Linked DNA regions of Oryzias latipes. The protein of the gene in region 2 purifies or fractionates together with the protein of the main gene of each other region. This does not show direct contact. Links are inferred from orthologs where the notes say so. Each region holds a gene or a part of one and is shown on either strand. Other genes may lie near its edges.

What was found.
Region 1: the proteins of ghitm (region 2) and pomk purify together in Homo sapiens (affinity purification with mass spectrometry; 3 studies listed by BioGRID and IntAct, counting the BioPlex papers as one, with this or other methods). This does not show direct contact. The link is inferred for Oryzias latipes from reciprocal best matches to the Homo sapiens genes GHITM and POMK.

Annotation. Positions count from the first base shown.
Region 1 is NC_019870.2:26,977,165-26,981,590, reverse strand, and holds the start of pomk (protein O-mannose kinase), read left to right. Parts: upstream 1-1,330; 5' UTR 1,331-3,177; coding exon of another isoform or gene 3,178-3,183; 5' UTR 3,184-3,534; coding exon 3,535-3,690; exon of another isoform or gene 3,691-3,820; coding exon 3,821-4,102; intron 4,103-4,426. Other genes in the region: pam (peptidyl-glycine alpha-amidating monooxygenase), read right to left, coding at 569-579, 794-924. UniProt on the Homo sapiens protein: Protein O-mannose kinase that specifically mediates phosphorylation at the 6-position of an O-mannose of the trisaccharide (N-acetylgalactosamine (GalNAc)-beta-1,3-N-acetylglucosamine (GlcNAc)-beta-1,4-mannose) to generate phosphorylated O-mannosyl trisaccharide (N-acetylgalactosamine-beta-1,3-N-acetylglucosamine-beta-1,4-(phosphate-6-)mannose).
Region 2 is NC_019877.2:11,294,852-11,299,363, reverse strand, and holds the start of ghitm (growth hormone-inducible transmembrane protein), read right to left. Parts: upstream 3,097-4,512; 5' UTR 2,966-3,096; intron 2,643-2,965; 5' UTR 2,609-2,642; coding exon 2,477-2,608; intron 2,091-2,476; coding exon 1,988-2,090; intron 1,867-1,987; coding exon 1,755-1,866; intron 1,659-1,754; coding exon 1,517-1,658; intron 1,430-1,516; coding exon 1,321-1,429; intron 953-1,320; coding exon 764-952; intron 1-763. UniProt on the Homo sapiens protein: Plays an important role in maintenance of mitochondrial morphology and in mediating either calcium or potassium/proton antiport. Mediates proton-dependent calcium efflux from mitochondrion.

The DNA.
Region 1 (4,426 bases), on a different chromosome or scaffold from region 2:
CTTGTGGTCTTTTTTGGTGTCAGAATGGTCTTAGGTGGTCTTTTTATTCCAGAGACTGTTTCATTGTTGAAGAACTTGAATGAGAAGAAACTGTAGAAGCTCAGAGGTTCTGCCTGCAGCGAAACCTGATCTCTGGAGAGTCCAAACGCTCTTCTCCTGTGTTTTGGATATACTTCTCCTGCAGCAGGGCCACATCTGCAGCAGACAGTAGGTTTACATCTGCAGCAGGTCCACATCTGCAGCAGACAGTAGGTTTACATCTGCAGCAGCAGGGAGTTCAACTTCGTTTATGACCGGAAGTCGTCCGCAGCCACAGACCTTCCGATCCCCGGGGACCCGAAAGGCTGACAGCGAGGCTCAGTGAGGATCGATGGGGACCGAAGGCAGAGCGGTTCTCACGATCCGCTTCTCGGTGACTCATCGCTGTGGGGGGTGGGAGTGGGAGGGGGGACCGAGCCGGAGCCGAACCAACCACCACACCACAGAACACACAACAAACCGGACCGGAACAAATACGATCAGCAGGGATAACCCGGGAAAAGAAAGCGGTACCCGCGCTGCAACACACCTGAGCCGTACCTGAGGAGGAAGAGGAGGAGAGGATCAGGATGCGGAGCTGTTGTGTGACGTAGCTCCCCAAGGTTAGCTAGCGTTTAGCTCCTCGGTTTGTCGTTTCCGCGATTTCTTGACAGATAATTAAACAGAACCGTGCAACCGGAAACGAACAAGAGCTCGCGCCTCTTTGTAAACCAGTTCGAGGACCAACGTCCCACAGGCACGTTCAAACTGATACCTGTCTGCGCACACGTCCACTCTGCCTGTGACGTCGGTCTGTTGAAAACAGCAGTGACGCCAGCACTTCCTGTTTTCAGAATAAAAGCAGCTTCCGCTGCGGCAGCTAGTGCTAGCTAGCATCGTTAGCATTTCACAGTTACAATGGTTCGATTATCTGTAATAAATAAAAAAAATACAATACACTCAGTCGGATCGGAACCCACTCACATGCAAAACGTCTGAAACTTTCTGTGGAAATTTAGTTAACTGACAGTTTTCATCTTATTTGCTGTTTGTTGACAGTTTTCCTCTTATTTTCTGCTTTTTTTTGTAACCAGAAAAACAACCTAAAAATGTAGTCTTTAGTAAGCATGACCGATTTCAATGTTTAAATCCAAATTTAATTTAAAGCACGAGTTCTGAATAATTGGATTGGATAAAGGACTCTAATCTGGAATGATTCATGACAACTGTTTTGAAAATGTATATGATCCAGGAAAATGTTAAAATTTTGTATTTTCATATATCTTTGTTTCATTGTAGACCATGACATTTTCAGACATTTTAAATGAGTAAAGTAAATAAATAAATCAGCCTATGTCCACAATGCACCTCTTTATCTATAAATTGGGAATGTGAAGTTTAATTCTCATAAATGTTACAGTGTGATTTGTCAAAAATCAAAATTCACACTGAAATGAACTGTTACTATGTTTTGGGGAATGTTTCGTTACTCGTTTCTTTCACCGAAAAACAAAAAAAAAGTAGCAATAGTGTTAAAATAAAGAATAGATGGATTTGAAAACTGACTTCAAAGAGGTCCCAGTTCTGCAAGAGAAATGTCCTCTTCGCTTAAGCCCCTAACCCTGAATTTTTTTCCAGATGTTTTACCACATGTTTATGCTTTCAAGTAGATGCTAAACTAAGGTAATTTTGGAGCAGAAATATGCATCAATAGGTGTCAAGGGGGTTAAGAACATAGCGACTCAAAAGGGAAAAAACAATAAAGAGACTTGTGTTTATTTGGCAGCAACACAGAAAATCAAATCTACAGGCAAAAGAGAAGGTTTTGTAAAATATCTACACATGTGAAAGGGATATAAAAATGTATACTTTTTTCACATTGTCATCTGGGTTTTTCTGGTTGAGTCATTGCTTCATCACCAAAGGTTCCCTCTAAACCAATCAGCTCACAGCAGCGTAAGTCACCTGCTTCCTCTTTATCTAGCAATGTTGGTGTGCGAGGAAGCTGATAACCAAATCGCTGACCTCGCATGACCATTTTAACTCTCCCAACTCCTCTGAGATGAGAAGTCAGAAATGTGGTTGAGAAACCTCACATGACATGCAGTCTTTACACAACAGCTGAATAAACCACATCTGCTCTGGAGGTGAAACGTGTTTTATAGAGGAGACGTCCTCACAACTGCAGCCGTTGTCCAGGAAACGCAGAGATGAACTGAAGGATCGCAGCTTCATCACAATGTTTCAGCAAAGAGCAGGAAAAAACAAATTCTTCATGTTCTTAGTCAAATCAAACCGTCTCTGTATCACAAGAGAGCAAACGAGGAGAACACCATCTGTGGAGCTTTTTGAGCTCCTGCATGAACAACAGTCACAGTCCATCTGAGGAAACGCCGAAGCTCTTCATCATATTTGATGGTTTCTCCACTCGTGTTTTATGTTGTTTCTACCGGAACAAACCGTGGAGTGGCCGTTTTTGTGGACATACACAAATGTTTCCTTAATACCAAACCATCTTTTTTCATTTGTTACCATCATGGAAAAGAAAACTGCTATAAATTTCATGTGTCATTTACAGTTTATGGATAATCCCTAATTTGTAACTGCTTCTTGTCATGTCTATAGGTTATATCCCCTTTTTATCTTATATTATGCATTTACTTGGCCTACTGTGAATTCTCTTATTGACCCTTTAGCATTGCTATGTTTTCTGTTCCGTCTGTTCCGACTCTCATTTGTTGATTTTACACCTTTGCCACAACTGTTGTAAACGTTATCATTTCTCGTGGACACTGAGGTTCTTTGATGTCCCAGAGGTTCCTGATGTTCTGCCTTCAGACTAAAAGCAGGGCACAGGCTGCCCCTGGTCCGGGTGGTGCAGGTGGATGAAGCCAATGAGTTATATCGCTCATTGGATGAAGCCTTTCTTCTACCACCAGCCCAGCAGGGGGCGCTGCAGCCTCGAAGAAACCCGCGCGCGTCCAGCGCCATAGCAGAAAAGAAGCTGCTCGTGAGCGCGCGCGCCGAGGGGGGCAGATATGCCAGAAACACGCGCGTACGTGGAGCTTTCCGGATCATGAGAGACCCAGGAGAAAAACTCACGTTGGATCGGGAGTGCGAGCACACTGAAGAGGAGAAGAGCGGGAGGAGACTGTTGACATGGCGGTGAGTGACGTCACTGCGTTACCTGGCGACGGCGTATTTATGTCCGTCGATGTTGTGCGGTGAAAGCGCGTGTCGTTCCGCGGAGCCGCAGGGAGCCATCCATCCATCCATCCATCCACCCCTCTGTCATCTGCGCAGACGCAGACTCGCTGCCGACCGCCACTGCGGTAGAATGATGCAGTCTGCTTCTGCAGGTCACATCTGGTCCTGGATCAGCTGCACGGTCCGCTTCACCCGCAGAACAGCTCTCAATGGTTCTGATAGAAACCCTCAGCATTCTTGTGGGTGTTTGAGTCAGCAGGTTGAGGCTGGTTCTGGTGGTTCTGATGTGTTCGTGTTGGACCACTACGAATGCCGGACCTAATCTTTCTGTCTGCTGACTGCTGTTGTTCCTCTAAAGCAGTGACCTCTTCTGCTGGGAGCTGCAGCCCCGAGGGGGCGGAGCTTCCACGTGTTGCCATCACATCTGCAGAGAGACATCACGTGCACGTGTTCACAAGAACCTCAGTAAGAGAGCAGAGTCTGCTGAGCAGTAATCCCTTCCAAGAGTAGAGTAATAGATGACAGCAGCCAATCATTGGTCAGAATTAAGCCTCCGTTCTCTGGTTTCCACTTACTTTTGTTTTTGTGTCTGCAGAGGATGCCGGGCCGTCTGTCGGGCCAGCGCAGCAGAACCTCCCTTAGTCTGGCTGGACTCATGACCTGCCTTGCTGCCTTGCTCGTCAGCACTGGGGTGATTTACCTGTATGTGGACTCCCTGCAGGGCGCGGCCGAGCAGGCCGGTTACCCTCAGACCGCCTGCAGACCAGGACACTTTAAAATCTCCAGCATGAAGAGCTGCGCAGCCTGGCTGCAGTGTGCCCAGGTGCGTGCAGACGTCCGGCAGCTGAAGCTGATCGGCCAAGGAGCCGTGAAGAAGGTGAGATCACAGGTGAAACATCTGTAACGACTCAGAAACATCAGGTTTTTTTGTCCTTTCTGCAAAACAAAAGGAAATAAACATTTTTACAGATGACCCCTGACTGTATGTGAGATCTGGACTGAGTGGCCCTTCCTCCTGGCATTCCAAACAGGAAGTACCTGCGGGTTCCAAGAAGCCAAAATCCCACAGACTTCTATAGAGGAGTAAACATCTGTTAATCTGTCATTCTATTGGTCAGAAGAACCGTCCTGGATCTGATAAACTGACCAGCTAAATAATACATTGACCAATCAGATCACTCACTAAAAGTAGGCCGTCTCA
Region 2 (4,512 bases):
GCATAAAATGCATTTAGCTCAACACCAACTAAGTAATGTAGAGCAAATGTGAATTTAGAAACAATGTGAACATTTCTGTATGACAGCTTCATTTTTCTGTTGGTGCTTTAACTTCTTTTATTCACTCAGAACCAGACATACTACTCAACATTTTTAAATAGAGTTCCAGAGACATGAAAAAGGGTTTTAAGTCACATTAAAGTACAAAAGATTGCAATGATTTTTCTGAATGGCTTCTAGTGAAACTCAAATGTCACAGACTCAATTTATACTCAGTTCATTTGTCAAAAAAGAGGAAAGTCTTTGAGAAACATAGAAACCAAGTACAGAAACACTGTAAAGCTTTTTTGAGTAATGCTCAATGGTCTTAAAAATTCAATGAAAATGCATATAGCCTATTGATTAAAATGGATGCGATTTCACACTTATATTTTTGATCCTCAGACAACTATAAACACAAATTTGCATAAGTTCTGACAGAATTTTCCAAAACTCGTGTAAGATTGGGCTTTTGTTAGATTTTACTAAGATTCCTTTACGGTTTTCTAAAAAAACATTATTGCAGACCCAGTGTATGAGACAGGTAGAGTGCACATTTCTCACACTCTGCATGAGTCTTTAAATAGAATACACACATTAGGGTGTAACAGCCAACACCACACTGAAAAAACCCAAGAGACCAGTTAAAGCAACACAAGTGCTGTAACCATTCCTGTTATAATCTCACTTCTTTGACAGATACTTGAAAATGACCAATACTAACCCAGAGATGAGGCAAACACCACCCCAAAGCCAACAGCCAGCGGCCCTCCCATGTTGAGGAACTTCTCACTGGGGGCACACATGGCCACAGTAGACAGTCCTCCCACAATACCAGCTGTATACCAGGCAGCCCTCATCATCAGAGGCCCTCCAAGGAGGGTCAGTGGAGCAATGACAGCGCCCATCACACCTGAGGATGAACACACCACACGTCAATCCAATATCTAAAGTCCGTGTTTGAGCGCCCTCTGGTGTTTCTGCTGTGGAACTACATGACTGATTTGATATTACCGGTACATATTTGACACATAGCACAAATACAACTAACTACATTAACCTTTTACTGTAAGACATTAAACAATGTGACATGGTAAAAGTTGTGCAGCAATAAACTATATTTCTTTCTAACTTCAGGATGATGAAATGAACAGAAATGTCACGGAGCACTGAAAGGTTCTTTTTTTGTTTTAAGTGTTCTGCTCAGTCCTTTGGCTTCAAATGGTTTCAAGAGTGAAGTGGGAAAGGGGCTGAGTGGGAAAAATGGAATTCTATCCTCACCTGCATGGAGCATCCAAGCAAGATGTTTGGGCATTGGGCTGTGCTCATATGAAATGGACCTAACCAACATTCCCGCACCAATCATTGCAGCAAAAGTTGCTCCAATTGCCTGGTAAAAGATAAAGGAATAATCAAAATCACTTAAAATACTTTTTATTTAAAAGAAAATGCATTGTTTTCAAGTAGCAAAACTTACAAGCCATGATCCTTTCATCATTAGACCCATTAGTGCTGGTGTCCTGCTCACAGCAACTGCTGACAGAGCCGTTAGTCCAACGCTGCCTGCAAAGTACATGTAGGTGGAGTGGATTCTGTCCTTCACGTACTGAGGCCAGATCCTACACAAAGATAAAATGTCCATTTAGATGGTTTTTTCTACCATAGTTAGCTAGTGAGTACAAAACTGTAAAGGTAACAAGGAAAAATATACTAACATAGATTTCTCAAGGGCACCAATTTCATTGGACATGCCCAGTCCATAATAGCACAGAGCTCCAAGACCTACTGCTGCACCTCCTGCAAGAATGATCCTTCCCATGCTGTCAACTTGAAAAAAAAAATAATAATAAAATAAAAAAGAAATATACACAATCAGTGAATTATTATTCAACACCAAAATGTTATTTTTAATCATTCCTGACTGGAATAACAACAAAAACATGTTTACTTTTGATGGCTGTATCTGTTGCTGGCTCAAAAGCTGCTTCTTTAATTTGATCCTTTGCAGTTTTCACACGGCGGAACCCAAACCTAGCCCGTGAGGAAAAACCCTGTGAAAATAAATGAAACAATAACATGACTAAATTCAATTTAATAAATTGTAAAAAACAAAAAAAAACCATAATAATAATAAAGCATATTTTCTGATATGAAATTCTTTAGCAATTTGCTTTTACATTACAGACATCTCAGTTTTAACTTGTATCTTGATTACTTCAGAATTGTTACGTGTTTTCTTTTTTGTTTGCTTTATTTCTGTTTTATGTACTACCCTTTGATATTGACTATTCATGTGGAACATAATAATGGTCTAAATAAAAGTTTGAATAAACAAATTCCCCGTTTTTAAACTGATTTATGTATCACAGAAAATTAAACAAAACAAAAGACTATGATATTAGCAAACATATTCGCCTCCTTCAAGGCTTTTCCGTACCTGCTGCGGCATGAGAAGGGGCGGGCAGGCCTTCCATGTGGGTGCCCTCAAGGATGAAGAGCTTTGGGTCAGCACAGGACGGAGCCCGACGAGCGGGAGACTCTTTAAGCAAGTCAGCCTAGCCACCAACATGTTTGTCTCTTTTTTGAATTTAAGCTAGCTTGGTCTGAAAGACAAGCGAAATTTTGATTTCAAACGCAAACAGTGGCTCCACTTAGCCCACAATAAACAACATTCGGGTGAAAAAATTAACATATCAAACATGATTTCCCTCATAAAATAAAATAAAAGCATGATGAATAACTATAACTAGTTTTCAGGTACAGAAAGGCAACGACGTAAGTGCGTCAAGGAATTAGCAACGTCTACCAACGACTTAGAGAGCCATTACTTAGAGCCATTACTCATACATAGTAACTGAATTAACACGAAACTGTCATTAGTAAAACAAACATAGCAAAGTTTACCAGGTGTATAAACAGCACTTACAACGAAACCCTTTTCCTTCACCTTCCTAGTCCGAAATGCGCAAGTTTCTGACGCAACTGTTTTGCAAGCAACCTTACCCTTCGTGAAAATTCTCGATTGTTACGTCATCTGCATGCGACGTGTTTGGTGGGAAATGTAGTTCAGAATTTATTTCTCTTTTGTAATCAATTCAAAAAGCCACACATAAAGTTTTAGTTATCTTATTATTTAAATATTTTTGAAGGTAGAAACAAATAATAAAAATAATACTGGATTTTGAATTATTTCATGTAGAAGAAAAATGATTACGATATTAATACAAAATACGCTTTTTGATGATACTATTGTAAAGATATTTTTTTGTTTTAAAGAAAAAGACACTTTTTTATTATCTTAAAATAATCTATTATTGTTGTGTTCCGTCATATTTATTCTCATGTGCACGTGATGCCTTTGTCCACTAGGTGGAGTACTAGTCCTCTTTTCAAAAGTTGTATCAAAGTCCCCTGAAATCTAAAATCGAGGTTAAAATCAACACTTTCCTTGGTTTTAAGATCTAGAACCAAACTTGGATTTACTGTCGTGTTATGTACAGTATGTTAAATGATCTAAAATGCATATTACATCAGCAGACTCTGTCAGTCTCTGGACTCTGTCATCGTACCTCCCGCTTCAGGCTCCGCTCCTCTGCACCAAAGTTTCTCGTGAGAGTCACTGAGCTGTTGAAAAGACTTGTCATTCATTTGGCCGCCGTCCTAATCTGCAGCTAACTCAATATGCTTCTACTTGTCCCACATGTATCATTTATTAAAACTTGTCTTGCGACTTGTGCTGTATCCGTTCGTTTTTCTTTTTTTTTTCGTCACGCGCAAGTGAGTAAACGGAGAAGTAATGGAAGTCGTCTCTTTCTGGAGTTGTACTGTGAGAAGAGGCTGAACAAGTGAAGCGCGACTCGGAGTACAGACCTGCAGCTCATCATAATGGTTGGTAATAAATAGAAACAAAGATGTTCAACGTGCACAGTTTATCATTGAGCGCTATAGCATTAGACCAACATTGATTGACACGTGGTTGATGCGTAAATTTATATAAATGAAAGTTGTTGGAATAGTACACGTGTAACTGTTATTATAGGTAATACATAAAAACATGCCAGCATGGTGGTTTAATTTGAACCCCTTCAGATAACTAATCATCTGGTTTAAAAGTTTACATTTCTCTGCATTTATTTCGTTTTGGCATTGACGTGCATGTTTTTGTTAGGATAAAAAAACCCACTCTGTTGACGTATTGTAATGTTCTATAGTACATTTGGTATCTGAACGCTACATTCCTCTGTTTTGCGCGTTGACCCCTGGGAGACGGAAGCTGTTTCTCTACATGTAAACCTTGTCTTGTCTTTTTTAACATTTTTTTTGTGTAGCCTTAAAAAGAGATCTTTAAATGTCTATGTGTCTATACTAGAAGTCAAAATGTCTTTACAATTACCAGTAGTTGTTAAAAGAAGGTTATCTTAGGTAGTTTTAAAACTAATTACACTAGTAAATCAAGTGAAAAACTTTTAGTGT